Linked DNA regions of Callithrix jacchus. The protein of the gene in region 1 binds, or shares a complex with, the protein of each later gene. Links are inferred from orthologs where the notes say so. Each region holds a gene or a part of one and is shown in the gene's direction. Other genes may lie near its edges. The genes, in order: POLR2F, UBTF, POLR1B, ERCC3, TATA box-binding protein-associated factor RNA polymerase I subunit A, GTF2F2 and TAF1B.

Region 1 (4,301 bases):
TGAACCCCAGGCTCCTTATCTGTAAAGGAAAATAGCAATAATTGCTAAGCCACAGGTCAGGTAGGGGAGAACTGAGTTACAGAGGGTAACTACCATCATTCTTTTCTCATCCTTTAACTCGGGTTTCCACCCGTCCCCCACCTGCCCCGTCCCCCGTTCCTGGACTGACACCAGTCCCTGGCCTGTTAGGAACAGGGCCGCACAGCAGGAGGTGAGCAGCGGGCTAGCGAGCGTCACCGCCTCCTTTCAGGTCAGTGGCAGCCTTAGATTCTCATAGGAGCGTGAACCCTATTGTGAACTGCGCACGCGTGGGATCTAGGTTGCAGGCTCCTTATGAGAATCTAAGGAATGCCTGATGATCTGAGGTGGAACAGTTTCATCCCGAAACCGTTCTTGTCTTCCACGACAGCGGTCCCTGGTGCCAAAAAGGCTGGGGATCGCTGCTTTAAAGCACTGACCTTCGAGCAGCTCGCAGGTCCCCGGGGTGTAAGTGGTCTTCTTGGGGCGGCGCCGGAACCCCGTTGCTTTGGTCACTACTTCTATCTTCTGTGAAGCCATGCAAGGACCCTGAGGAGGGAAGGATGCAAAGACACACCCTCTGTCTCCTATCCCTAATTTCCTCTTCCCCACGCCCACCACCCTAGAAGTCTGGAAGCGGGGATCCAGCCAGAGAATCGTGATGCCGCCATTTAATATCGAGACAGTGCCCAAACCTCCCATCCGGACACAGACAGATACACACACAGAGTCCTCATTCTGACCCAGCGCCTGTGGCAGGGAAGTCCCCTCGGGAGGAAGGCAGTGTTAACATAGCCAGATCAGAACAGTACCCACTGAGAGATATGCCAAAATTGAAATTTCACCCTAAGACCTCCTCTGGGTGCTCCCTTCTCCACATAGAGGTGAGCTCTCGGAGGCGGTGACCACTGCTTTACAGCCGCAGCCGCACCGGTGCCACGTAGAAATCCTACGCGATCTGGGCTGCTAGAGCTGGCAACTAACAACTGTGGCTACCGTGGCTACCATGGTAACGCGCCCACGAGTCAACGCATGCGCCCTTTCTCTCTCGCGCCGTCCTGCCTCCCGGAAGTGATGCCTCTGGGTTACCGCGCAAGCGCAGGATAATCGTGGCGCCGCGCGAGTCGTAGTGGAGCCGTTTGCGGGTCTCCGCGCGGCACTGGGGAGCAGCGGCGTCGCAGAGACTAGGGTGTCATGTCAGACAACGAGGACAAGTGAGTGCGAGAGCCAAGTGGCCTTTGCGGCAACCTCAGAAGGGGCAGATGAGGCAAGGCGTGGGTCGAAGGCGGCTGAGGAGCCTGGCGTCGAGGGGCAACGTCTGAGGGGATTGGCGGCCTGAGGGGGCAGGCGGTGCCGGGGAAGGAAAGGGCGGGGACCCAGGAGCATCGGCCCGACCGGAGACCGGGCACGGGAAGCTCCTGGCTCGAGGGTCCGGATAGGATCCGTAGGAAAGGTGTCTTTCGGTGAGCCGGGCTCTGTGTCATGGGAATATTGAGGTGAATGAGGAATCGTCCCTGCCCTCCACGTGCTCGCTTTCTAGAACAGGGGGCACAGGCCCATAAGTAAGTAAACAGGTCATGGGAGTCGCGTGAGCTTCTCCAGTTCTAGAAGTATGTAATATAGGAGTTCTCCAGAGAAGGGTCTGGGGCAGCTCCACCGGTGGCATTAAATACAAGTCTGGAAGGGTTGGTTGCAGTAATCTTATTTTTATTTTTTTTTTAGACGGAGTCTTGCTCTGTCGCCCAGGCTCTGTAGTGCAGTGGCGCGATCTCAGCTCACTGCAGCCTCTGCCGCCCAGGTTCAAGGAGGGATTCTCTTGCCTCAGCCTCCCGAGTAGCTGGGATTACAGGCATGTGCCACCACATCTGGCTGTTTTGTTTTTAGCAGAGATGGGGTTTCACCATGCTGGCCAGACTGGTCTCGAACTCCTGACCTCAAGTGATCCACCCGTCTCAGCTTCCCAAAGTGCTGGGATTACAGGTGTGAGCCACTGTGCCCGGCCTGGTTGCAGTAATCTAGGTGAAAGTCAGTAGCTTGTGGTAGGGTGGTAGGAGCAGAGGTGGTGAGAAGTGGTTTTGAATTCTGGATATATTATTATTTTAAAAGTAGAGCCAAAAAAATTACCTGTTGGATGTGTGGGCACAAAGAGATTTAGTGTGAAGATAAAAATAAGAAACGTGTGGGATTGCTACAACATTCTCAGTGTCAGTAGAGAAAAGGAGATGACCCGTGGCTGAGCGTTCGGGCATTCAAACGTTGAGTGCTTGGAGGAAAAGAGAAGCCAGGGAGGTGGGGGAACACCAAGAGAGTGAGGTGTCGTTGGAGTCAAGTGAGGAGAGCGAGTGGCCTAATGTGTCAGCTGGTAGATCAGGCTAAATGAGATTGAGAATTGGCCATTGGATTTAGCAACGTGGAGATCATTAATGAACTTGGGAAGAGGGGTTTTGATGGAGCTCTTGGTGTGAAAGGCTTTTTGGAGTGGGATTATGACAGGATGGGAAGAGAGGAATTGTAGACAGTGAGGGACAGCTCTTTCACTTATTTTTGCTTCAAAGGGCACTATGGAATTAGGGCTGTAGGGGGAGGGAGAAGAGAAGGAAGGGTTTTTTTTTTTTTTTTTAGTTGAGGAAAAGCACATGTTGAAATACTGATGGGCCGAGTGGTGGCTCACACCTTTAATCCCAACACTTTGGGAGGCCAAGGAGGGTGGATCACCTGAGGTTAGGAGTTCAAGACCAGCTTGGTCAACATGGTGAAACCCTTTCGTTACTAAAAATACAAAAATTGGCCGGGTGCGGTGGCTCAAGCCTGTAATCCCAGCACTTTGGGAGGCTGAGGCAGGTGGATCACGAGGTCAAGAGATGGAGACCATCCTGGTCAACATGGTGAAACCCCGTCTCTACTAAAAATACAAAAAATTAGCTGGGCATGGTGGTGTATGCCTGTAATCCCAGCTACGCGGGGGGCTGAGGCAGGAGAATTGCCTGAACCCAGGAGGTGGAGGTTGCAGTGAGCCGAGATCGCACCATTACACTCCAGACTGGGTAACAAGAGCGAAACTCCGTCTCAAAACAAAAATTACCTGGGCATGGTGGTGTATGCCTGTAATCCCAGCTACGCGGGGGGCTGAGACAGGAGGATTGCTTGAACCCAGGAGGCGGAGGTTGCAGTGAGCCGAGATTGCGCCACTTCACTCCAGCTTGGGTGACAGAGTAAGACTCTGTCTTAAAAAAAAAATAAAAAAAAGGCTGATGAGAATGATCCAGTAGAGAGGCAAACAGCGATGATGAATGAGTCCTAACAAAATCTGGGGGCAGATGGGGAAAGATTGAAGGAGTAAAATGGAACAAAAGTCTGATTTACTTATTATTATTATTATTTTGAGAAGGAGTGTCACTCTGTTGCCCAAGTTGGAGTGCAATGGTGTGACCTCAGCTCATTGCAAGCTCTGCCTCCCAGGTTCAAGTGATTCTCGTGCCTCAGCCTCCTGAGTAGCTGGCATTACAGGCACCAACCACACCTGGCTCATTTTTGTTTTGTTTTGTTTTTTTTTTTTTGAGACGGAGTTTCGCTCTTGTTACCCAGGCTGGAGTGCAATGGCGAGATCTCGGCTCACTGCAACCTCCGCCTTCTGGGTTCAGGCAATTCTCCTGCCGCAGCCTCCTGAGTAGCTGGGATTACAGGCACCCGCCACTATGCCCAGCTAATTTTTTGTATTTTTTTAGTAGAGACGGGGTTTCACCATGTTGACCAGGATGGTCTCGATCTCTTGACTTCGTGATCCACCCACCTTGGCCTCCCAAAGTGCTGGGATTACAGGCTTGAGCTACCGCGCCCAGCCCATTTTTGGTATTTTTAGCAGAGATGGGATTTTTCCATGTTGGCTAGGCTGGTCTCGAACTCTTGACCTCAAGTGATCCACCTGCCTCAGCCTCCCAAAGTGCTGGGGTTATAGGTGTGAGCCACCATGCCCGGCTGATCCTTATTAAGTAGATATTTATTGAGTGCTTCCTATATAGTGGGCGAGACATATATCTTTGCACTTATTGATTTTTTTTTTTTTTTTTGAGACAGGTTCTTGTTCTTTTACCCAGGCTGGAGTGCAGTGGTACGATCTTGGGTCACTGCAACCTCCGCCTTCTGGGTTCAAACAATTCTCGTGCCTCAGCCTCCTGAGTAGCTGGTATTACAGGCATGGGCCACCATGCCCAGCTAATTTTTCTATTCTTAGTAGAGATGGGGTTTCACCATGTTGGCTAGGCTGGTCTCAAACTCCTGGCCTC
Region 2 (4,516 bases), on another chromosome or scaffold:
ATTTCTCCCAGGAGACAAGAGGAATTACAGCAGCAGCGAGGCAGGCTGAGTGAAGGAGAAGGCTGCGTGCCAGGGGAGAGTAGAAAGGGGCTGGGTGACCCAGCTGGCCCAGATGCGGGCAGTAGAGTGTCGGTGTGGGAAACTGGTAGCCTGAGAGCCAGGAGCAATGGCGCTGCCCAGGAGCGGTGGCCCAGGCTGGAGGCTGGGCCTGTTGGAAGCAGGCTTCCTTCAGACGGCTTTCTGGCTCCCTGCGTCCGGATAACCTTTCCTCTGAGAAGGGGAGGCAAAGACAGACAACCACGGCCATGGCAGTGCAAGGGTGGGCGGTGGACCCCGTCCAGGCTTTTCATCACCCGCCTGCAGGATAGTGAACCGGGGGAAGTCTCGGTGGCGGTTGCCCCGCTGCCGCCCGGGCAGTGAGGCCGGGGTGCCGAGCTCCCCTCGCGGCTGCCCGCCGCCGCCGGGGGGCAGCGCCTGCGGCCTGCTTTCCCAGGGCTGGCCGAACCTTTTTGACAAACTGATTGCGTGGCGGGGATTGGCTGGTCGGGGCGTGACGCCGGTAACAACAAAGGTGGAGTTGGAAGAAATTAGATTAAAGGAGAGGAAAAAAATTAAAGGGGGAGCTGGCAGAGGACAGGAGGTAGAGACCGAGGGGGAGATTCGCGAAGCGGTGTCTCTCCCGGTTCCGACTACTCCACGCCCCAACCCCAGAAGATTCCTCGCACAAACCCACTGGGATTTTGCTCTTTCCCCCACCCCGGCCCAGTGGCCGATGCCGGGGTAGCAAGGATAGCCGCTGCTTCTTGAAAAATCCCGAAACTCCCACCCTGACACCCCTCACTACGAGCTAAGGAGAGAACTTTTTGCTCGGACTCCTCGGATCCTAAACCCAGCGAAGAGGGGAACATTGAGAAGCTCGTCCTAAAACCCGGAAGGCCCTCGCGGAGCACGGAGATCGGATAAGGCCGGGTGCTCCCATGGTTTTCCGATGTGTTGCAAATCTAAGAGCTTCTTTCTCGCTTTTTTTTTCCTGTAACTCCCCCCCCCGCCCCATTTTGCTTCTGGGTTGCAAAAGCAAAGAGCAATAAAAAAAAAAAAAACGCGCACACACTCAGACACACACCAGTGGCGACATGGGAGAGAGTTGGAAAGACGCAGGAGAGAGAAGCAGGAGGCAGGAAGCAGCGGGGATGGAGCAATGGGAGCGGGAAGGAGGCAGGTTTTCTCGCAAATCCCCCTCCGGCCTCAAGCCGTCTCGCCAGCCCCGGCAGGGGAGCGAGGAGCCGGGCGAACAGATGGAGGAGTGGAGCTCGCTCTAGGCAGCTGGGCTTGGCCGGAGAATGGAGGAGCCACCAAGCGACCGGCTGATTGGAAGAGAAACGCAGAGCGATGGAGGCGGGGGTAGGAGGACGATTTCTCTGCGGGGACTGGCGGCGGCGTACACGCCCGGGTCGGGCGCTGCAGAGCTTGGCTGGCTTTCAAGCCGCGCTCGCCGGCTCCAGCTCCGTGCGCCCCCCACTACTAGCCCTCCCGGCGGCTCCGCAGGTGAGTGCGAGCTGGGGGCAGAAAGATCCAAAAGTCTCAACACGCCCGCCCTGCAAAAAAGAAAAAAAAAAAAAAAAAAAAAAGGAAAGGAAAAAAAGCATTTTTCTTAAAAAAAAAAAAAAAAAATTTTCTGTGCAACCCCTAGAGCAGTGGGAGGGAAGGGGTGAGGCTGAGCAGCCCGGAGGAGGCGGAGGGGCCAGGCGAGGCCGCCGTGGCCCGGGAGGCGGCGGCGCCGAGGCGGCTCTGACGGGCAAGCGCTTGGAGCGGCGCTGCGCTGCGCCGAGGCGGGCGGGCGGGCGGGCGGAGCGGGGCGGGCGGAGCGCGGCGCGTGGGGCTCGCCATTAGCCGTCGCTCCGCTTCGCCATCTCGGGCTTTGTCTGGCGACTTGCTGCCCCGGCGTCGGCTGCAGCGGAGCTGCGGCTCGGCTATTCGGACCGCCGCGCCCCCAGGTGCCCCCAGCCCGCGCTCCCATCCACACGCTCGGTAAGTGAGCCCGGGCGCCGCGGATTTCGGGGGAGAGGGGTCGCTACGAGTGGCGGTGGCGCCGATCTCCATGCGCCCGGGCAGGCCTGGGGAGCCATGCCGGGCTGGATTGAACCGGCTCCCAGAGCGGCTTCTCCGCCGAAGCCCGTCGTTCCTTCGCCGTTTCCGGGGTGTAAAGAGCAATGGGGATTTTTTTTTTTTTTAATGCAGAGGTTTTAGTTTTTTGTTTTTTTTTTTTTTTAAGTTTCGTATGTGCCGTTCGGCAGTGAGGACCGCAAGGTAGGCACTGAAGCCGGGCGCCGCGATCGGCGTGCGTGCGCCCCAAGCCAGTGACCACGCTCTGGGGGATGAGGGTGTGCGCGGACCGCTCGCTCCGGGAGGCGGGAAAAAGCTGGCCTGGAAGCCCTAGTCTGAGCTGGGAGGACTTGGGGGAGAGCTCCGGAGCAGAGCTGTGGGCGCCCCCCGAGCCTCTCCAGCCGCCGGGGGCCCCTTTGGGCACCCTCTCCGCCGCCGCACCTCGGCCCTCCCTCTAGTGCCGGAGGAGCCTGTTAGTTCCCCCGCGGGTCTGGCGAGGTCGCTCTCGGCGCCCGCCCGCCCCGGCTCCGAGCTCCGCCGCCATCCGGGCGGCTGCGTGTCTCCCTGCCCCGGCCCCCCCCCCCGCCCGGCGGCAGCAGCAGCAGCCGCCGCCGCCGCCGCCGCCACCACCACCACCACCCCCCTCCCCTCCTTCCTTCCCTCCGCCTCGGCCGCCCGGGTCCCCCCAGCTCCCGCCCCTCCTCCCAGCTGCCCCCCGCGGAGCCCGCCCGGGCAGGCTGTGGGAGGGAGCGGAGCCGGCGAGGCGGGCGGGCTGGCGCTCGCTCCCCGGGGGTCGGTGTGCGCTCTACGGGGAAGGACGCGCTCGCTGCCCCGCTTCTCCCGCCCCCCCTCCCGCTCCTCCTCCTCCCTTCTCCCTCCTCCTCCCCGCTCCGGCGGCTGAGGCTGCGGCGGCGGCGGGGGGTGTGCGAGCTGAGGCCGGGGCCGGCGGCGGGCGGGCTGCCTGCAGGCGGAGGGCGCTGTGCTTTGTGCTTTTCGCCGCGAGGAGCAGCAGGCAGCAGCCACAGCCGCCGCCACAGCCACAGCAGCAGCAGCCGCCGCCCCAGCGCCGCCGCCTCGCCCGGAGGAGGAGCCGCTGCCGCCGCGGGAGGGAGCTGCGGCTGTGCCCGGCCGAGCGGGGGAGGGCGCCGCCGCTCAGAGCCGGGGAGGGAGCCGCCGGAGCGGGAAGCCCGGAGGCCGCTCTGCGCCGGGTAACCGAGGCGGCTGAGGACGCGCGCTAGGGTCGGGGCCTGACGGCAGGGAGCGAACCGCAGGGTGCGGTGGGCGCCCGGCTGGGAACCGGAGCAGGGGACCGGGCGCGAGCAGACCAGGGCACTGGGGAGGACGCCGAAAGCCGGGGGAGGGGAGGGCAGGAAGCGTGGCCCGAGCCGAGACCTGGCCGCTGGCGGAGGAGCCCGCGCTTCTCGGAGCCGGCAGGCGCAGTTCTCCCCGGCCGCCGGAGGGGGCGGCGGGGCCGGTGAGCGCTGCGCCCCCGCCTCCCGGCCGCCGTCCTCCCGCCCTCTGCTTGGCTCGGCTCCCCGGAGGCCAGGGCGGGGGCGCCGGCGGGGCTGGGCCGCAGGCTCGGGGGAGGAGGCGGCGGTTCCCGCCGCGGTCGCGCCTCTGCGCCGGGCTCCTCCGTGCGAGTCGGGGTGGCTGGGCGGCGGCGGCGCCTCTGGCCGGGGTAGGTGGCTCGGGGCGGGGGGCAGGCTAGGCCGCTTCTCTCCAGCTGCTCGCCCGCCTGAGCGGGCGGGGAAGGCGATGGGAGCCCGGGAGGGGGGAGCGGTGGGAATCCGAATCCGGTCCCCGGGGGCGGTGCGGCCGTTGCGCTCCGGGGCTGGCGGCGGCTGCGCTGCGTCCGGGTCCCCGCCGGGTTGCGGAGGCGGGGGGAACCGGCCGGGGGGAGGCGAGAGGAGGAGACTGGGGCGCGTGCCCGCTTCCGTGGTCGCGCGCGCCCTTTACCCGCCCTTCCTCCTCCCCCGCCCTCCAGCCTGGGGCCTCCCCGGGGCGGGCGCTCAGAGGAGGAGGAGTTTTTTTTGGCCAGGGTTGGGGAAGGAGGGCGGAGGGCGGGCGCTTGCTGCACGCGGGAGCTGGGAGCAGGCTCTCGCGTGGGCAGAGGAGGGCGCGCGCCGCGGAGCTGGGCTGCAGGGTTTGGGGGAGGGGGTCAGGAAGCAGAGGAGGGGCTCACTCCCACTCCCACAGACCCTTTAAATCCAGTAAGGTCATGGTTGGGACTCTGAGAGTGTGGACCTGCCCCTCTCCACTCTGGGAGGGGAGGGATAGAAAGTCATTCACCTCTTACCCTGCCTGAGTGGGAACTGGTATGTCTTCCAAAGGGTGAGGTGGTTTTGACCCCGGGTTGCCCGGCCAGCACGACCAAGGAGGTGGCTGGACAGCTGGAGGATGAACGGAGAAGCCG
Region 3 (3,857 bases), on another chromosome or scaffold:
CTTGCTATTTCTTTCTTTCTTTCCTTTCTTTCCCTCCCTCCCTCCCTCCCTCCCTCCCTCCCTCCCTTCTTTTCTTTTCTTTTCCTTCCTTCCTTCCTTCCTTCCTTCCTTCCTTCCTTCCTTCCTTCCTTCCTTCCTTCCTTCCTTCCTTCTTTCTTTCTTTCTTCTTTCTTTCTTTTCTTTCTTTCTTTCTTTTTTCTTTCTTTCTTAGATGGAGTCTCACTCTCTCACCCGGCTGGAGTGCAGTGGCGTGATCTCTGCTCACTGCAACCTCTACCTCCCAGGTTCAAGTAATTCTCCTGCCTCAGCCTCCTGAGTAACTGGGACTGCAGGCGCATGCCACCACACCCAGCTAATTTTTGTATTTTTAATAGAGACGGGGTTTCACCATGTTGGCCAGGATGGTCTCAATCTTTTGACCTCATAATCCGCCTGCCTCAGCCTTCCTAAGTGCTGGGAGTACAGACGTCAGCCACTGCACCCAGCCTTGTCTTGATATTTCTACCACATCTACAAATACAGTAGTAACATCAGAGTTCATTAATCACAGATCACCATTACAGGTATAATAATAATATATTTGAAATACTGCAAGAATTACCAAAATGCCAACACAAAGAAACAAAGGGAACACACGCTGTTGGAAAAATGGCATTGATAAGCCCACTTGAAATATCTTTGAAGTGCAATTAAAAGAAATAATGCCTGTACCTGTTTTAGAGACAAGGATAATTTGATATCTGAACTGATCCAGCAGCTGTTGACCCCATCTGGAGGGAATCTGGAATGTTGGATAAAGCATTCTAATGTGATTGTGCTGTTTGTTCCCTTTACCAGGGGTCACTCCTGTTGATGGAGCTCCCCACCAACCGTACAGTGAGTGCTACCCTGTCCTGCTGGACGGCGTCATGGTTGGCTGGGTGGATAAGGAGCTTGCTCTGGGCATTGCAGATTCTCTTCGTCATTTTAAGGTGGGCTTGAGCTTTGTGAATTGTCCTATTTCTTGACCTTAGGTTTTCAGTTCTTTTCTAGTTTTTGGGTTAACCCTTGGGTAGTCTAGAGTGATCAGGTGGTCAGGGGTCAGAATGTCCAAAATGCCTGTGCATTCCCTCTGGTGACAGAGGCTTGCCTTATACTGGTTTCATTGGTTGGGGTCAGTGACAGATATTTGACCCATATACATTCTTTGGTAGTTTCATTGAGGCACCCCAGTCTGCTTATCTAACTAATTTTAACCTTTTTCCCCCTTCTTAATACCAGTGGCATCTGAGGGATCTCAAAATACAGATATTTCCATAATATTCAAAATATGCAAGGTAGAAGTTACACTCCATTGCCTCCTAGGTTTTGAAAATACATCTTTAAAAAGTAGAATGACATTCTTTGAATAACTTATCTTTGGGATTTCCTCCTAGTGACGAGTATTTATTGCTTTGATAATGCCATTGAAAGAATTGTCCTTTGGCAACATGATGAGTTTGTGGTTTATATTCTATTCTGTGTTATTTAAAAAAAATGTTTAAGCTAAATTTTAGTTTTAGTTTCAGTGCTCTGTTGGTCACTTGGGTTGTTTCTGCCTTTTGGTCATTGCAGATAACACTGCTATGAACGTGAGTGTACAAATATCTATTTAAGTCCTTGTGCTTTTAATTCTTTTGAGTATATTCTTAGAAATGTAACTGTGTGGCTCATTTGATATAATTTTACACTTAGAGCAAATATGTTTTATCAGTACCTAGGACCCTCCTATATACACATTACCCAAATCCACCAGTTACTATGCTTTGCCCCACATGCTTTATCTTCTATATGCTCTTGATAATTTGTTTCTTTTGAGCCATCTGAGAGCAGTATTCAGACATTGTCCCATTTTCCATAAATATTTTAGTGTATTTTTTCTAAGAACAAGGACTTTCTCTTCAATAACCCCAGTACATTTCTGAAAATCAGAGAAGGTCATGTGGGTGGGATCCATAGTTGATACTCAAATTCCACCAGTTGTCTCAGTAATGTTCTCTTTTTTCTTTTCTTTTTTTTTTTAAGAGATGGGTCTCATTCTGTTGCCTAGGCTAGAGTGCAGTGGCACAATCACAGTTCACTGCAGTCTTGATGTCCCAGGCTTAAGTGGTCCTCTTACGTCAGGCTGCCAAGCTGCCTGACCACAGGAGTGCACTACCATGCCTGGCTACCCTGGCAACTCCCTGACCCAGTCCTTTGGGTTGTTATGGAGGCTTTGTTACATAGGATGACTGATGGAATCATTGGCCATTGGTGATTAGCTTAACCTCCAGCCCCTATTCCCTTCCTGGAGGTTGAAGGTAAGGCTAAAAGTCCCAATCCTCTAATCCTGGCTTGGTCTTTCTGGTAACCAGCCCCGTCCTGAAGCCCACCTAGATGCTGTCAACCACCAGTCTTTTGTTTTAATTTTTTGAGTCAGTGTCTTGTGGTTCAGTTTCCCGAGTAGCTGAGACTACAGGTACGTACCACCATGCCTGGCTAATTTTTTGTATACTTGGTAGAGGCAGGGTTTCACCATCTGGGTCAGGCTGGTCTCCTGACCTCAAGTGATCTGTCTGGTTCAAGTGATTTTTGTGCATCTGACTAGCATGCAAAAAGACATCACTTTGCAAAGTGTAAGGATTTTAGGAATTGTATGCCAGGAAACAGGGTGGAAAACCAAATAGATATTTAACAATATTACAGCTCTCCTGTAATTTAGGTTTATGTTTTGCTTCCTCCTGATGAGACTCACATTATCATTTCAGGAAGCACATGACGTTGGTTGTCCCATTATGGGTCATGTTAACTGATCCCCTCAAGGTTGTGTTCTTTAGGTTAATTCACATAGTTTCTGTTTTCTCTGTAATAAGTAACTCGTGGAGAGATAGTTGAAAGCTATGTGGAGCCCCTTTTCTTCACATTTTCACCCAGTAGTTGATGAATTATTTGCTGAATTACTATTACATTGGTGGTTCTTTGATGAGTTAATATTACTGTGATGGTTACCACATGGTGTTTTCCCCCAGTCATTTGTTCTATCTTTATTAGTTGCTATTCTGTAAGAGAGGGCTTTCTTTTCTATTAGTTATTCATTTATTTATGTTAGCACAGATTTATAGATGCTTGTTAAATTTTGTGAGTATTCTGTTACTACTTACTTTGATGCTCAGAGAGCATGAGATTTGATCAAGTGTATAGTTCAGTGGTATTAAGTACATTCATGTTGTTGTGCAGTCATCACCATGTTCAGAACTTTCTCTCTGTCACAGATGGAAACTCTGTACCCATTAAACAATCATTCAATCATTCCTTTTTTTTTTTTTTTTTTTTTTTTGAGGCGGAGTATTGTTCTGTCGCCCAGGCTGGAGTGTAGTGGTATGATCTTGGCTCACTGTACCTTCTGCCTCCCAGGTTCAAGTGATTCTCCTGCCTCAGCCTCCCAAATAGCTGGGATTACAGGTGCACACCACCATGCCGGGGTAATTTTTGTATTTTTAGTAGAGACGGGGTTTCTCCACATTGCCCCCGCTGGTCTTGAACTCCTGACCTCAAGTGATCTGCCTGCCTCATCAGTCTGATTTTATCTTTGTTATAATTTGCGCTTTCTTTTGGTTTACCTTATTCTTTTTTAGCTTTTGTTTAAATAATTTATTTTCATTCTCCTTTTTTTGGTTAGCATTGTGGAGGGTAGGGGGATGAGGACACTTGAGATCCGCTTTTAAATTTCAAGTAGGCAATATGGTATTCTTAACTATAGTCACAAGCTGTACATGAGATCTCCAGAAACTTAATTCTGTTGCATAACTGAAGCTTTATACCCTTTGACCAGCATCTCCCTGTGTCCCCCTCCACCAAAC
Region 4 (3,857 bases), on another chromosome or scaffold:
ATCTCTGTTTAATGGAAAAGCTTGATTTTTATCTTGATCTTCAAACGGTGGATGGTAGTAAACTCAGAAGCTCCTGGAGTTTCATCTTGTCTGTACACACTCAGTGCATCCCTGAGTTCTCAGTCCCGTTTACCGTGTAATAATGATAGTGGACTTTTGCCAAGTCCCTTCTCCTGTGGGCTAGGCATGCTGTACCCCAGTGGCGTTACTGTCCTTTGGCTGTGGGCAAGGTAAGGTACTCCTCGGCTTTAGTGTTTCTTTTTTCTTTTCAAGACAAAGTCTTGCTCTGTCGTCCAGGCTGGAGTGTGCTGTGGCACCATCTCGGCTCACTACAACCTCCGCCTCCTGAGTTCAAGTAGTCTCCTGAATACCTGTGATTATAGGTGCCTGCCACCATGCCCATCTAATTTTTTGTATTTTTAGTAAAGGTGGGTTTCACCATGTTGGCCAGGCTGGTCTTAAACTCCTGACCTCAAGTGATCCACCCACCTTGGCCTCCCAAAGTGCCGTGATTACAGGTGTGAGCCACCACACCCAGCCTGGTTTTTCTGTCTTTAAAATGGCAGTAGTAGGCATTTCTCTTCTCACTGGTTTGAGATTTTAACATTTAAATGAGATACATGTGAAGTGCTGCAGTAGGCCCCAGCACCTGCTAATTCTCACATGTGTGTGAGGTGGGCGTGTCTTCTCATTATAAAGAAGAAAACAGGCTGGAGCCATGTGTGTCACACAGATGTCAGCTCTGCAAACTATTACAAGACATTGTCCTAGATTGCTGTACTTAAGAGTCACTCTGCCTGTTCCTGTCCTTCATTTCAGCCTATCCTTGGGTGGGAACTTAATGTTGTTTCTTGTAGGTGCTGGAAAGTCCCTGGTTGGTGTGACTGCTGCATGCACTGTCAGAAAACGCTGTTTGGTGCTGGGCAACTCAGCTGTTTCTGTGGAGCAGTGGAAAGCCCAGTTCAAGATGTGGTCCACCATTGACGACAGCCAGATCTGCCGGTTCACCTCCGACGCCAAGGACAAGCCCATTGGCTGCTCCGTTGCCATTAGCACCTACTCCATGCTGGGCCACACCACCAAAAGGTCCTGGGAGGCCGAGCGAGTCATGGAGTGGCTCAAGACCCAGGAGTGGGGCCTCATGATCCTGGACGAAGTGCACACTATACCAGGTAAGCCGTCTGGAGTTGAGCTGTCCGCTTGTTGAACAGACAGACCAATTTCCATTTGTTAGTTTGGGAGAGGGACTGCTGTGTAGCCCACCCAACTGGCTAAAAAGAAGTGTTGGGTAAAGCTTTTTAATAATGCTTAAGTTTGGGTGGGATGCAGGCAGGAGTGTTCACATTTACAGCTTTCTTAATCACTGGCTCAGTAGTCATATAGAAAATGAAACTTTCTTTCCTCCATCTTTCTTTTGCTGCTCAGCTTAATCAGTTTTTTAATGGCCCTCTAAAAACTGGATTAGGAGCACTGAAAAACCCTTCCGCAGCGGTGGTGATGTGTTTTCTTTGAAGCCTGAAATGTTGATTCTTAGTCAGTATGTAAAAGAAGCCCTGCTTCTTCGAGTATTACGGGCAAACCTTTTTTAAAGCTGCTGTATTGATTTAATTTATATACCATAAAATCACACCTTGCAAATATGTAATCCAGTGCGTTGTAGTAAATTTGTGGAGCAGTGTGCAGCCATTACCATGATCCAAGTTTTTTTTTTTTTCCTGCGATGGCATCTCACTCTGTTGCCCAGGCTGGAGTGCCGTGGTGTGATCTTGGCTCACGGCAACCTCTGCCTCTTTGGTTCAAGTGATTCCCCTACCTCAGCCTCCCGAGTAGCTGGCTAATTTTGTATTTTTTTTTTTTTGAGGCGGAGTTTCGCTTTTGTTGCCCAGGCTGCAATGACATGGTCTTGGCTCACTGCAACCTCTGCCTCCCGGGTTCAAGCGATTCTCCTGTCTTAGCCTCCCGAGTAGCTGGGATTACAGGCATGCGCCACCATGCTAATTTTGTATTTTTAGTAGAGACAGGGTTTCTCCATTTTGGTCAGGCTGGTATCGAACTCCTGACTTCAGATGATCCACCCGCCTCAGCCTCCCAAAGTGCTGGGATTACAGGTGTGAGCCACCACGCCTGGCCAAATTTCTGTATTTTTAGTAGAGACGGGGTTTTGCCATCTTGGCCAGGCTGGTCTTGTACTCCAGCCTCATGTGATCTGCCCGCCTGGGTCTCCCAAAGTACTGGGATTACAGATGTGAGCCACTGCATCCAGCCACCATGATCCAGTTTTAGACTTCCTTTATACTCATTTGCAGTCAGTCTTTGTTTCTTTGTCTGGTTCAGGCGGCCACTGAACTGCTTTCTGTCACTATAGATTTATGGAAAATTTATTTTCTTATGTCTGGCTTCTTTTACTTCACATAATGGTTCATATGTGCCTTAGCATTTATCAGTAATTTGTTTCTTTTATAACTGCATAGTTTTTTGGGTGAATCTTTTTTGATAAAAACAGATTAAGGGATTTTGATTAACAGGTTAGTGCTGTGCATGGTGGCTGACACCTGTAGTCCTCTAGCGCTTTGGGAGGTGAAGGCAGGAGAATTGCTTGAGCGCAGGAGATTAAGATCAGCCTGGGTCACATAGTGACACATGTCTCTACAAAAAAGTTTTTTTAATTAGCCAAATGTGGTGGCGTGCACCTGTGGTCCCTGCTGCTCAGGAAGCTGAGGTGGGAGGATCACTTGAACCTGGGAGGTTGAGGCTGCAGTGAACCATGATTGTGCAACTGCACTCTAGCATGGGTGACGGAGTGTGAGACCCTATCTCCAAAAAAAAAAAGAAGAACGATTAGGGTAAATTAAGAAGTCTGGAATAGACGTTTCTATGAACAAAATGAAATCTGAGGCATTTCCCAGGTAGTGTTCAAAATGTTGTCAAAATGGCCCCCGCATCTGGCTCTTTCTGTGCACTGATGAGTTTCAGGAGATACCTAGAGATGTTCACAGCTGGCCAGGGAGGGATTGGAGGTCTTTCTGATGGGTGTTGCAGGGTATGGGTTCTGCTGTGGGAAAGTACTTGGCACAGAGAGACAGCACAAGATGGCCATGCTGCCAGAGGAGAAAGAACATAGAAACAGTAGTCAAGGCTGAGGAAGGATAGAGGTATTGGGGCAGATCTTGTAGGACCTTGTAGGCGACAGCAAGAACTTTGGTGTTGTACTCTTAGTGTGAAGACATCTAAGGGGTTTGAGCAGAGGGTGATGTGAGCTGACTTTACACTCTAAAAATACCACCCTGGCTGCTGTGCCGGGAATAGACTGAGGGAAGCAAGATGGAAGCAGTGAAGTGGGTTTGTAGAATTCCAATAAGAAGTGTGAACCAGTAAGGATGAAAGTATGATCCAACTCTGGATTTGTAGTGAAGCTTTTAACTCACAGGTCAAATGGGGGGATCAGAGAGAGAAATCAGGAATGACACTAAGGTTTTTGGCTCAAACAAAGGGAAGATAGAGTGGGCAGTGCTATCAGAGATGGGGGACATTGTCAAAGGAGCTGGTCTGGAAGGTGACTATCAGAAGTAGCGCTTTAGATATATGAATTTGAGTTTCCTGTTAGATATTTAGGCAATGGCAAAAAGGTAAAAAAATAGGCAAAAGAAATTGACAGACATTTCACCAAAAAAGGCATTACTTATGTCAAAGAAGCACCTGAAAAAGTATTCAACCTTATTAGCCATCAGGGAACTGTAAGTTAAACCTACCCGCAGGATGTTCCTGTATGCCAATTAGAGTGGCCAGAATAAAAAATACTGATGTGCCAGTGCTGATGAGGTCACAGAACAGCTGAACTGTCACATGTTCCTAGAGGG
Region 5 (4,546 bases), on another chromosome or scaffold:
CCCACGGGAAGATCTCAAGGGAGGCTGTTAAAGGAACAGCATGCAACTTGCCAGCCCTGAGGAGGTGGGCGGGGGGGGGGGGGGGTGCGTGGATCAGCTTCAGACACAGCTGTTTTCCTATGGGATGTGACCACATAACGATCAGACAAAAAGATGACTGAACTTATCTTCTTGAAATCATTGCTTTGTAATTGTTGCTTCCCACCATTAACATTGAAGAAAGGCTGGGGCACAGGAGGCTGGATGAACTTTGTGTTGGCCAGGTAAACAGAATGTCTATCCAGGTAGAAAGTAAGCAGTGAAGGTATGCTCACCTGAGCAGGGAGGGGGTCACGAATCTCGCTGGCCTGCCCTAGCTCTGCCTTTGCCCCTTTGTTTGGCCCTGTGGCTATAAAGCTGCCCTACCAGGAGCAGCCCCCACTGGCACCTCCGGCCCTAGGGATTTGTGAGTGTTTGGTGGGGGCAGAGTGTGGAGAGGCCAAGTCCACACTGTATCTAACCTTAGTGCAGCTCAGGATTCAGCTTCCCCCAGCCCCTTCTCAAGGTCTCAGCTCGGGCCCTCAAGGCAGCAGGAAGATGGGCTCTCCTCATCCCCTAGGTCCCCTGTCCTTTACCCCCCACTTCGGACACAGCTTCACGTAATGCAGCCACAAGGAGAAAAGAAGGCAAATCACTCAGGGAGGGAGGCACCTGAGCCCCAGCTTGGCCCAGAAAAGGCACCCTGTGCATCTCCCACAGCTTACCACATCCGCCTGGGACTCGACGAAAGGGCCAGAGGGCCGAAGGTGACACCAGAGTCTCTGGCGCGACCTTCCAGAGCCTCCAGGGAATTTCTCACGCTATGGGGGCGAAGACTGGCTCCCCAGGGCCCCACGGAGGTCAGGGTCCTCTCCATTCAGGACAGCAAGGAGAGAATGGCCTGGAGTGAGGCCCTAGGAGGGACGGGCTGCTGGGGTCCTTGGAAGGGACCGTAGGGAAGACTTGGAGTCTTGCACGCTCCTAGGGGATCTGCGGTGGGGAGGCAGCAGGGAGCCTCTCCTGCCGGATGGCGCTTTCGGAGGCGGCGATCCCCGAGGGTTCCTTGCTCTAGGGTCGCCTCTTACAACTGCGGTGGTGGGCGGGGAAGAGTGAGCAGGGTGCAGTGCGGCAGCCATGGCACGGTGGGAGCCTCGTGCTCTCCGGCTCTACCCGCGGGACCAGACCCCTGCAGCTCCCGAGCCAGCAGAGCCAGGACGTGCCTCGGGAATCTGGGTGCTCCCCAGGTCCCGGGGCATTCGGGGACGCCGCGCCTTCCAGCGTCTGAGCTCCATCCCGGGTCCGGGAGATCAGCCCCGCGCACCCGGGTTAGAGTGAACCCCCCCGCCCTGCCGATTGTCCCAACGCCGGGGCCAGGGGGCGCGGGGCCCTGTGTACGTCCGGCTCCGACACATCATCTTTGTATTCCATCTCTTTCCGCCGCGCCGTGTCTCCTGGAAGCGTTTCCGGCCCCAGTGACTCGAGCGGGTGAGGCGAAGGAGCAGTTCCGGAGCGTGTCGCGCAGGCTTAGGTGAGTGCGCGTGCGCCCGGTAGAGGCGGCCCTGCGGGCTTGCCGTACACCGCTTCCGGGACGCGCCCGGGGCTACTCCGCTGCAGAAGGTTTGTGCGGTTCTGCGCCGGCTCGCTGAGGAGCTCGGCTGAGGAGCGGACGTAGCGGGCGGCGACTCGGTGGGACCGCAGCGCGCTGCAGCAGCTCCCGCCCTGGCCAGGTAAGCTGCGGGACCCGGGCTGCCTGACTCGCCAGTGGCAGCCTGCGGCCTCGCGCCGTACCGCAGGAACCCTGAGGAGTGTGGGGCGGCGCGGAGGTTGCGGCTCTAGTTCTCCGAGCGCAGCCCTCTGGACTCCGCAGGGCTGCAGGGTTGCGGGGTGGCTGTTGCTGAGATCTGGGAGTGCAGCCCGGCGGCCCCACTCCTTTCCTACCGCCACTTCCTCCTCCCACGACCGGCGGCTCTCACATCCCGCGCTAGGTCGCCGCAGCGACAGGCCACTTGTGCCGGCTACAGGCGCTATCTGACGGGGGTGGGGGTGGGGGAAGTGGTGAGGGAGGAAGGGCTCCCGCTCAGGTCCCACAGGGCTGGCCGGGCCGCTGGTGCGTTCCGTGGCTGGAGAACCAGAGCCGGGATCCTGTCCCACTTCCGTTTCCTTTTATAGTAAGGCCCAGCGGGAAAAACCTTCTCAATTAAAAACCCTACACCGCGTTGCCCCTGGGCTGCAGGCGCCAGGCTGGGTGTGTGCTGCTGGGCATGGGCGTGCTGAGGAGCTCGGCTTCGCCGACGCGGTGGGCGGCGGCGGGGCGGGGACTGCACCGCGCTGAAGCAGCCTTGCTCCCTGGCCAGGTAAGCTGGGCGGGGGGCCGGGCTGCCTGAGTCGCCACCGGTGGCAGCCTGGGGCCTCCCGTGGCACTGCAGGGACCCGGATGCGTGGGGGCGGCCCGAGGTTGCAGCCCCAGTGTTCTCGAGCACTGCCCTGTGGACTCGGCGGGGCTGCGGAGCGGCTGTTGCTGGGATCTGGGGGTGCAGCCCAGCGGCCCCACTCCTACCGGCCACTTCCCTCTCCCACGACTGGTGGGTGGGTGCAGCGGGTACTGGGCGGTGCTCTCGCATCCCCGGGTTGGGTGTGGGGGGGGGTGCTTGTGGCGGACGGCCACCCGGCGCCGGCTAGAAGTGCTGTCTGGGGGTTGGGGGGGCACTTGGGTCCTGCCGCCGGGCTGGACGGGCTGCTGGTTGCGTTTCCCCATCCTCGCTTGGCGCTGGCATCAACTCCCGGTGCCGGACGGCAACTGGGTTGGGGTCGCCTTTGGGTTCGCTGTCCCCGGAGACCCTGAGCTAGGATCTTTTTCCCCTTCCCTTTCCTTTTATAATAAGGCCCAGAGGGAAAAAATTATCACTTAAAGACTCCACACCCCGCCCTTGCCCCTGGACTGCAGGCGCCGGGCCGGGAGCACAGCGGGGACCTGCCGTGGGCTAGGCCCCTTCCCCAAGGCAGGCACTGCCTGGCAAGGCTGCTGGTGGTAGATCTGGCCACAAATGGTGGAGAACATTGAGGACAGTTCCACCCCCCTTGGCTGTGCTGAGCCCATCTGGAGTGTTTCTGGTTCTAATCACAAGTGGAACAGTTTCAGTGCAGCTTACAGGTTCATGTTAGTGATGAACTTGGGTGGAGGTGGTGACACAGCTTGTTCTCTCCTCCTTGGCTCTTAGTGTATCCAGGATCCTGAGCTGCCAGGGGCCTGGTGACTCCCTCCCAGAGCCCTGCCTTGGCTGAGCTGGTCACCGCTGCATGTCCCGGGCTGCCAGCCTGCCTGTCATCTACAGTGCACAGGTATGCATGTGTGTGCATATGTATATGCACCACACACATACCCATGCTCACACTGCACATGTACCATGCCCATCTCACACACCCCACACACATACCCCATACATAACACACATACCCACCTGTCACATACTACAAACATGCCATGCCCACTTCACACTACACGCACATACCCCATACACACCACACATACCATATCCATCTCACACTGCACACATACCATGCGCACCTCACACCCCACACACATACCCCATACACACCACACATATCATATCCATCTCACACTGCACACATACCATTCGCACCTCACACCCCACACACATACCCCATACATACCACACACAACACATGTATCATACGCACCTCTCACACACTACAAACATGCCATGTCCATCTTTCATATACCACACACATACCCCATACCACACATAGCATACCCACCTGACACACCACACACATTCCTAATACCACACACAACACAGATATCACACCCACCTCACACATACTACACATTACCACACAGGACACACATACCATGCCCACCTCACACACCCCACATACTGAACCAATATACACCACACACATATCATACCCACCTCACACATACCACACACCATGCCAACCTACACACACCACACATACGCCATACACACCACACACAACACACATACCCTCCTCATACATACCCCATACATACCACACATGACACACATACCATGCCCCCCACACACCCCACACACTAAACCCATATACACCACACACATATCACACCCACCTCACACACACCCCATACACATCACATGCATATCATAACCACCTCACACACCACATGTATACCATGCCCACTTGACACACACCAGGCACTTAACCCGTATGTCCCACACATACACCACACACATACCCACCTCACACACACAACTCACACCCCATACACACCACACACAACACACATATCCACCTCACACACCACACACTACATATATACCTTGCCCACCTCTCACACACCATACGTGTATCGTACCCACCTAACGCACATACCCCCCCCACAACGCACATACCCCCCCACAACACACATACCCACTTCACACACCACATATATACCATGCCTGTCTCACAGACCATACGCTTAACTTATATACACCACAACCACCACACATACTACCATGCCCACCTTATACACACCATACACATA
Region 6 (3,857 bases), on another chromosome or scaffold:
GCAAGGCATGTAAATAACGGATTATAATATAGTAAGAGCTACCATGGAAGAATGTGCAGTGTGAAATGTGAATCCGAGGTAAGGCTGTTAGAGAAAGTCACGTTTGAGCCTAGTCTTAAAGCATGAGGAAAGGAGATAAACATTACAAGGAAGGGAAATAGCATATGGAAAAACCCAGAAGCAGGTACGGAAATGGGAAGTGTGTGTAAGGGGGAGTGCTGGAAGATGAGGCCCAGGGAAGAAGGCCGACCTGAGTGGATGCCTGCGAAGGCGTTTGGAATTCAATGTGCAGGCCAAAGGGGGAAGTCACTGAAACATTTTAGACAGAGGAAGGACATGCTGTCTCTGTTTGCTGTCCATGTCTTCTTCCCTTTAGAGATTTTTTTTCTTGTTTTTCCCTATCATCACTACTGCTTTCTCTGCTAATGCTTTGTACCTGCTTCCCTGCCAAGATAATTTATTTATTTGATTACAGTAAAATGGTCTTGGCCGGGTGTGGTGGCTCAGGCCGATAATCCCAGCACTTTGGGAGGCTAGATGGGTGGATTGCCTAAGGTCGGTAGTTTGAGACCAGCCTGGCCAACATGGTAAAACCTCGTCTCTACTAAAAATACAAAAATTAGCCAGGTGTGGTGGCACATGCCTGTAATCCTAGGTACTGGGGAGGCTGAGGCAGGAGAATCCCTGGAACCCAGGAGGCAGAGGTTGCAATGAGCTGAGATCGCACCACTGCACTCCCCCCTGGGCAATAACAGCAAAACGCTGTCTCAAAAAAAAGAAAAAGGTCTTAGATTGCAGTTTAGAACATCCTACAAATCAGGAAGTTTGTGTGTCCCCTACCCCCTAGTCACAGTAGATTGTGACCGTGATTGCATTTTGTTGCTTGAAAAATTGACAGACCAGGATTATCTCATTCCATTTTTACTGTTACACGGAAAAAAGAATGACACCTTCTTGTATAAAAATAATTCCTTATATTCTACCAGTTTACCAGAATGAGCGTGAACATGAGAGCAACTGAATTTGTACTCTTAATACGTTCTCAGTATTCTGTGTTTAACCCTTTTTAGGCTTTTCATTTTCTGGGCCTAGATTATAAATGGGCCCTCGAGACTTGAAGTCAGGAGAGGTCTTCTCTGTGGGGCTACCACAGTGCTCCTGGAGGTGGCTTTTCGCTTTTGACCCTGTGCATCCACAGTGTGTGGCTGGTTGTGCGGCACCGTCTTAGCCAGTCTCACAATAAAACATTCTTTGGAATTTTACAAAGATGTCCTTCTTGGCACCTAAACAGAGAATCATTTGTCTCCAACCGATCATTTTCCATTTGTAAACCCTGCTCAATTAGAAAATCGTTTATGAATAGTGTCCTGTTTTTTAAATGTAATTTGAAAAACTGCTGTTGCCGGTGGCAGACTTGCATTTTATATTACCTGGATGTTTCAAGCCTTTATGCTTACTCATTCACACGGGTCTGCTAGTGAAGCCAACCGCAGGTGTGGGAGGCAGGCAAGCCTCAGGGGAACCCAGGGCTCCTTTGGTCCATTGCTGCCACCTGCTGGGGCCGGCTGATGGAATGGGAAGGCTGCCCAACAGCGAGCTAAGCCATCCTGAATGAACCTCAACCTCTGTGTAGTTCCAGTACTAGCCAGCTTTTGTGTTTCTAGGTGACAGTCTACCCCTGACTTCCAGTACTTTCTAGGTGACAGTCTACCCCTGACTTCCAGTACTTTCTAGGTGACAGTCTACCCCTGACTTCCAGTACTTTCTAGGTGACAGTCTACCCCTGACCAAAAGGACACTGTGAACTCTAGAGCGTTATGTCAGTCACTGTAAAGTGGTGTCACATTATGTTGGTGACACCTCATCTCCAGCAGTGATGAGGCCCTGAGAATGAAAACACACTAAGGACTCAAAGATCCTAGAGTTTCAGAGCTGGAAGAACCGTAAACCAGATGCAGTATGTAGTCACATGAGTCACCTAGGCACTTGTTAAAATGCAGGTTCCTGGGCCTAGCCCCAAAGACTTTGATTCGGTAGACCCAACATGTGTCTTATTTAACTGGCTTCCCACAAGGTTCTGATACAGGTCGTCTAGCATCACTGCAGAAGAGAAGAAAACTCCTGAGATATCCAGGCAAGAGCTTCTCAGCCGTTGTTCTTATTAATGCCTCGTTTCAATCAATAAGAAAAGTTATCTTTCATCAATGGGATGAGTCATCACCATACTGCAGCTGGTTCTTTGAAGCAGACGCACACAAAATAATTAACTTTCCTTCCTTCTCTAAGAAGGAAATCTGTACTTTGTATTGGGCAGCTTATTGTGGAATGCTTTTTGGCCTTGAGCATTGGCAAGCAAAGGTGGAGTTTCATATTACACTTAACATAGCCATTATTTCCATGACTGCATTAATCATTTAGTAAATGTTTGTTGAATTTTTAGGGACCTAAAACACCATCATACAGATTCTTTTCTTTGTAGAAGTAAAACACAAAGCTGCATCCCCGATAGTTTTTGAAGATGTCTTACTATCCCTTCTTTGTTGTCGTTGTTGAAATAGAGTTTGGTTCTTGTTGCCCAGGCTGGAGTGCAGTCTGGCTGACTGCACCCTCTGCATCCTGGATTCAAGCGATTCTCCTGCCTCAGCCTCCCTAGTAGTGGAGACAGGGTTTCACCATGTTGGCCAGGCTGGTCTCAAACTCCTGACCTCAGGTGATCCGCCCACCTCGGCCTCCCAAAGTGCTGGGATCACAGGCATGAGCCACCGTGCCCAACCTGATTATCACTTCTTGTTCCCTTCTCTGTGTGGCAAGCTTGGCTAAAGTACAAATAGCAGTAAATACAAATGACAAAAAATAAGTGGCCTAATAACAAATTTGAGAACTCACCTTAGAACTGAGGTTTCTGAATACCTGTCGTATGCCTGCTTGATAGAATATTCTCAGAAATGTTAGTCATTTTTTATGTATGCTGTTGCTCCCTGAAACTGCTGGTTTCAATCTGACTGTAAACTGAGTCCTTGAGGCTGCTGAGCTCAACGGCAGATTACACTTGGTGTACTGTGTCACACTGAGTGAGGACCAGTAATATTTTCATGTGTTTCAGCTAATGTTTTTTGTGTTTGTTTTAGCTTTTAAGTCATTGGCATTCAGGACTTTTATCCCCTTTAATGCAAATGATTATATAGTTAGTGCAGTGATCATATCACACATGTGGAATCAAAAGGCAGTTTACTTATAGATCAATCTTGCTGAGCTTTTAGGAGCATTTTTTTTTTTGAGATAGAGTCTCGCTCTGTCTCCAGGCACCAGGCTGCAGTGCAGTGGCGCGATCTCGGCTCACTGCAACCTCCGCCTCCCAGATTCAAGCAGTTCTCCTGCCTCAGCCTCCCGAGTAGCTGGGAGCATAGTTTTTATGACTTGCATACGTGCTTTGGCATAGCATCTTATTTTAAGTTTTGTTTGCTGCCTTTATAATCTCATTTATTAGGGTTTTTTTGTTTCTGCTTTAGGTGTACCTGAAGGAAATCTTAAAAGAAATTGGAGTTCAGAATGTAAAAGGGATCCACAAAAACACGTGGGAGCTGAAGCCAGAGTACAGACACTATCAAGGAGAAGAAAAGAGTGACTGAGGTGCCTCCCGGCCTGCATGCCAGTGAGACCACTAGCAGTATGCTGAGCAAAAGGCGCTTGAACACCGTATGTTAACAGGGGTGAAGCGACGACCCTACTTTCATTTCTCTCAGTAAATTTTTTAAACCTGTAATTCTTGTAAAGTTTCTTAACTGGTTTCTTTTATTTTGTTTTGTTTTGAGAAGAAAGAACAAATTTATTTATAGACTTCACTTGTATTAAACCAG
Region 7 (2,691 bases), on another chromosome or scaffold:
CCAAATCAGGCTCATATATTGCAGGTGGTTGACATGGCCTGTAAGAGTTTCAGTTCATGAGGAAACCACCCCCCCTTCTCTCACTCTCTCTCTCTTTCCTTTTACAGTGTACTTATTGAGTAATCCTGGTCATGTGTCCCACCAATTTCTCATAGTCTGGATTTTGCCTATGACAGTGCCATACAATACCATTTAACCTCTTCCTCTGTCCCTGGATACCCTATGTTTGGTGTAGTTAGAGTTTGAGATTGGCAGTTATGGCAGGTGCAGTGGCTCATGCCTGTAATCCCAACACTTTGGGAGGCTCAGATGGGTGGATCACCTGAAGTCAGGAGTTCAAGAGCAGACTGGCCAACCCCCTCTCTACTAAAAATATAAAAATTAGCTGGGCATGGAGGTGCACGCCTGTAGTCCCAGCTATTTGGGAGGCTGAAGTGGGAGAATCACTCGAACCCAGGAGGCAGAGGTTGCAGTTAGCCGAGATCCCACCACTGCAGTCCAGCCTGGCAGACAGAGCCAGACTCCATCTTTAAAAAAAAAAAAAAGTAGGTTAAAAAAATAAATAAATAAATAAATAAAGGTAGGCACTGTGGCTCACACCTGTAATCTCAGCACTTTGGGAGGCTGAGGCAGGCAGATCACGAAGTCAGGAGATCAAGACCATCCTGGCTAACACGTGAAACCCCATCTCTACTAAAAATACAAAAAAAAATTAGCCTGGCTTACTTAGGAGGCTGAGGCAAGAGAATCACTTGAACCCAGAAGGCAGTAGTCCCAGCTACTCAGGAGGCTGAGGCAGGAGAATCACTTGAACCTGGAAGGCAGAAGTTGCAGTGAGCCGAGATCGCACCATTGCACTCCAGCCTGAGCAACAGAGCAAGACTCCATCTCAAAAAAGAAAAAGAGATTGGCAGTTAGCATTAGTTAGAGATTTGATCAGATTTGGGTTTTACTATTTTAAAATAAGGGAAATTGCTTGGTAAACTCTTCTATCGCAATACATATAGTACTGCAAGCCACGTTATAAAGTTTGGCCTCTTATTTTGGGTAGCAGTTGGGATTATTTGTTTTCTTTAGTTCGTTTTAGAATCTCTCCCTGTTTGCTTTTGTTTGCCTTGACCATGGTAAGAGGGTGGAGTGGTGGCCTATCTGGAGCGAAGAAACTTTGAGCAAAGAGTTGAAAGAGCAGTTCCTAGAACCACCTGTGGCCCTTGTGTGGTGGCCATGCACAGTGTGAAAATGTTTTCCTTTGTGCAGTTAAGGAGTTACCAGATTGTTCTGAGTTTCCTTCTAGCTCAGGGTACTGTTTTAAACCTAACCATATATATTTGCTAAGTTATTTGTGGGGAGGTTCAGGGATTAATATGTGCATTTCTCAGTTATAAGCTCAAGAGAAATTCTTTTTTTCTTTTTCTCTTCTAGCTATTGTACACACGTGACAACCTACGAGGAATCAAATTATTCTCTGAGTTATCAGTTTATACTAAATCTCTTCTCCTTCCTGCTCAGAATAAAGGCTTCCCTTCTCCATGAAGAAGTGAGTTTAGTTGAAAAGGAACTTTTTAAGAAAAAATACAGTGTAACAAAAAAGAAATCAAAATCCAAGAAACGGAGACGATAGTGAGAAAATGAAACTTTTTTGGAAAAAGATCTTAATAGTAACATCAGATTTTAATATAACATTCCAAAGAATTATGGAAAATACTGCATATATATGTATATACTCTGACACATATTTACATATGTATCAAGTGTGCTTAGAAAAATGTATATTGTAAAGCAGGTAAGCTTTGTTTGATTTTATTTTTCAGAGTATGAATATTCTAAGAGAAAGTTAAAACAACAATAAATTGTATAATTGTATCCAGAAATGTGTATTAATTGTCCTTTAAAGCTAAATTTTTTTAAACTAGATCCCTTCCATATTCTTTATTCCCCAGAGTAAATCCCAGATGGATCAAAGATTTAAACTTAATCTTTCATACTTAAAAATATAAAAGTATTAGCAGAAAATAAATACAAATGCTTTGATGATCTTGGAATGGCAAAGTCAATTTTTGCAGCATACAATGGACAAAGGAATAATTTCTTTTTTTTTTTTGAGACAGAGTCTTGCTCTGTCTCCTAGGCTGGAGTGCAGTGGCACACCCTCGGCTCACTGCAACCTTCACCTCCCAGTTTCAAGCGATTCTCCTGCCTCAGCCTCCTGGTAGCTGGGACTACAGGTGTGTGCCAACACGCCCGGCTAATTTTTTGTATTTTTAGTAGAGATGGGGTTTCACTGTGTTAGCCAGGATGGTGTCGATCCACCTGCCTCGGCTTCCCAAAGTGCTGTGATTACAGGCATGAGCCACTGCACCCGGCCTAAGGAATAATTTCTTTAATGTATCAGTAGCTCTTGCAAAGCAAAAGGAAAAAGACAAGCTGAGTAAGGGATATGAAAACATATCCCATTGCCTAGGCTGGTCTTCAGCTCCTGGGCTCAACTGATCTTCCCGCCTCAGCCTCCCAAAGTGCTGGCATTATAAGTATGAGCCACTGTGCCTGGCTAAGACTTTTGATATTTTTTTATTTTTGCAACTTTTTATAACAAGTTATGCAATGATTTGAATTATATGCATGTAGAATTTTGATCTAAAAATTTAAAGAATAAATAGTTAAAGGTTTTACAAAAGCAAAACAATAAAACTC

What was found.
Region 2: POLR2F (region 1) and UBTF share a complex: the UniProt entries of both Homo sapiens proteins name them as parts of the pol I pre-initiation complex. The link is inferred for Callithrix jacchus from reciprocal best matches to the Homo sapiens genes POLR2F and UBTF.
Region 3: POLR2F (region 1) and POLR1B share a complex: the UniProt entries of both Homo sapiens proteins name them as parts of the pol I pre-initiation complex. The link is inferred for Callithrix jacchus from reciprocal best matches to the Homo sapiens genes POLR2F and POLR1B.
Region 4: POLR2F (region 1) and ERCC3 share a complex: the UniProt entries of both Homo sapiens proteins name them as parts of the TBP-based Pol II pre-initiation complex. The link is inferred for Callithrix jacchus from reciprocal best matches to the Homo sapiens genes POLR2F and ERCC3.
Region 5: POLR2F (region 1) and TATA box-binding protein-associated factor RNA polymerase I subunit A share a complex: the UniProt entries of both Homo sapiens proteins name them as parts of the pol I pre-initiation complex. The link is inferred for Callithrix jacchus from reciprocal best matches to the Homo sapiens genes POLR2F and TAF1A.
Region 6: POLR2F (region 1) and GTF2F2 share a complex: the UniProt entries of both Homo sapiens proteins name them as parts of the TBP-based Pol II pre-initiation complex. The link is inferred for Callithrix jacchus from reciprocal best matches to the Homo sapiens genes POLR2F and GTF2F2.
Region 7: POLR2F (region 1) and TAF1B share a complex: the UniProt entries of both Homo sapiens proteins name them as parts of the pol I pre-initiation complex. The link is inferred for Callithrix jacchus from reciprocal best matches to the Homo sapiens genes POLR2F and TAF1B.

Annotation. Positions count from the first base shown.
Region 1 is NC_133502.1:208,955,006-208,959,306, forward strand, and holds the start of POLR2F (DNA-directed RNA polymerases I, II, and III subunit RPABC2), read left to right. Parts: upstream 1-1,363; 5' UTR 1,364-1,518; coding exon 1,519-1,580; intron 1,581-4,301. Other genes in the region: C1H22orf23 (UPF0193 protein EVG1), read right to left, coding at 459-558. UniProt on the Homo sapiens protein: DNA-dependent RNA polymerase catalyzes the transcription of DNA into RNA using the four ribonucleoside triphosphates as substrates.
Region 2 is NC_133506.1:71,070,669-71,075,184, reverse strand, and holds the start of UBTF (nucleolar transcription factor 1), read left to right. Parts: upstream 1-1,411; 5' UTR 1,412-1,545; intron 1,546-1,913; exon of another isoform or gene 1,914-2,028; intron 2,029-2,272; 5' UTR 2,273-2,307; intron 2,308-3,257; exon of another isoform or gene 3,258-3,375; intron 3,376-3,640; exon of another isoform or gene 3,641-3,781; intron 3,782-4,211; exon of another isoform or gene 4,212-4,313; intron 4,314-4,433; 5' UTR 4,434-4,500; coding exon 4,501-4,516. UniProt on the Homo sapiens protein: Recognizes the ribosomal RNA gene promoter and activates transcription mediated by RNA polymerase I (Pol I) through cooperative interactions with the transcription factor SL1/TIF-IB complex.
Region 3 is NC_133515.1:22,030,064-22,033,920, reverse strand, and holds part of POLR1B (DNA-directed RNA polymerase I subunit RPA2), read left to right. Parts: intron 1-837; coding exon 838-971; intron 972-3,857. UniProt on the Homo sapiens protein: Catalytic core component of RNA polymerase I (Pol I), a DNA-dependent RNA polymerase which synthesizes ribosomal RNA precursors using the four ribonucleoside triphosphates as substrates.
Region 4 is NC_133507.1:37,190,147-37,194,003, forward strand, and holds part of ERCC3 (general transcription and DNA repair factor IIH helicase/translocase subunit XPB), read left to right. Parts: intron 1-857; coding exon 858-1,172; intron 1,173-3,857. UniProt on the Homo sapiens protein: ATP-dependent 3'-5' DNA helicase/translocase. Binds dsDNA rather than ssDNA, unzipping it in a translocase rather than classical helicase activity. Component of the general transcription and DNA repair factor IIH (TFIIH) core complex.
Region 5 is NC_133520.1:17,676,613-17,681,158, reverse strand, and holds the start of TATA box-binding protein-associated factor RNA polymerase I subunit A, read left to right. Parts: upstream 1-1,603; 5' UTR 1,604-1,745; intron 1,746-2,187; exon of another isoform or gene 2,188-2,372; intron 2,373-3,236; 5' UTR 3,237-3,315; coding exon 3,316-3,357; intron 3,358-4,546. UniProt on the Homo sapiens protein: Component of the transcription factor SL1/TIF-IB complex, which is involved in the assembly of the PIC (pre-initiation complex) during RNA polymerase I-dependent transcription.
Region 6 is NC_133506.1:164,482,042-164,485,898, forward strand, and holds part of GTF2F2 (general transcription factor IIF subunit 2), read left to right. Parts: intron 1-3,509; coding exon 3,510-3,629; 3' UTR 3,630-3,857. UniProt on the Homo sapiens protein: TFIIF is a general transcription initiation factor that binds to RNA polymerase II and helps to recruit it to the initiation complex in collaboration with TFIIB.
Region 7 is NC_133515.1:105,053,634-105,056,324, reverse strand, and holds the end of TAF1B (TATA box-binding protein-associated factor RNA polymerase I subunit B), read left to right. Parts: intron 1-1,422; coding exon 1,423-1,621; 3' UTR 1,622-1,871; downstream 1,872-2,691. UniProt on the Homo sapiens protein: Component of RNA polymerase I core factor complex that acts as a GTF2B/TFIIB-like factor and plays a key role in multiple steps during transcription initiation such as pre-initiation complex (PIC) assembly and postpolymerase recruitment events in polymerase I (Pol I) transcription.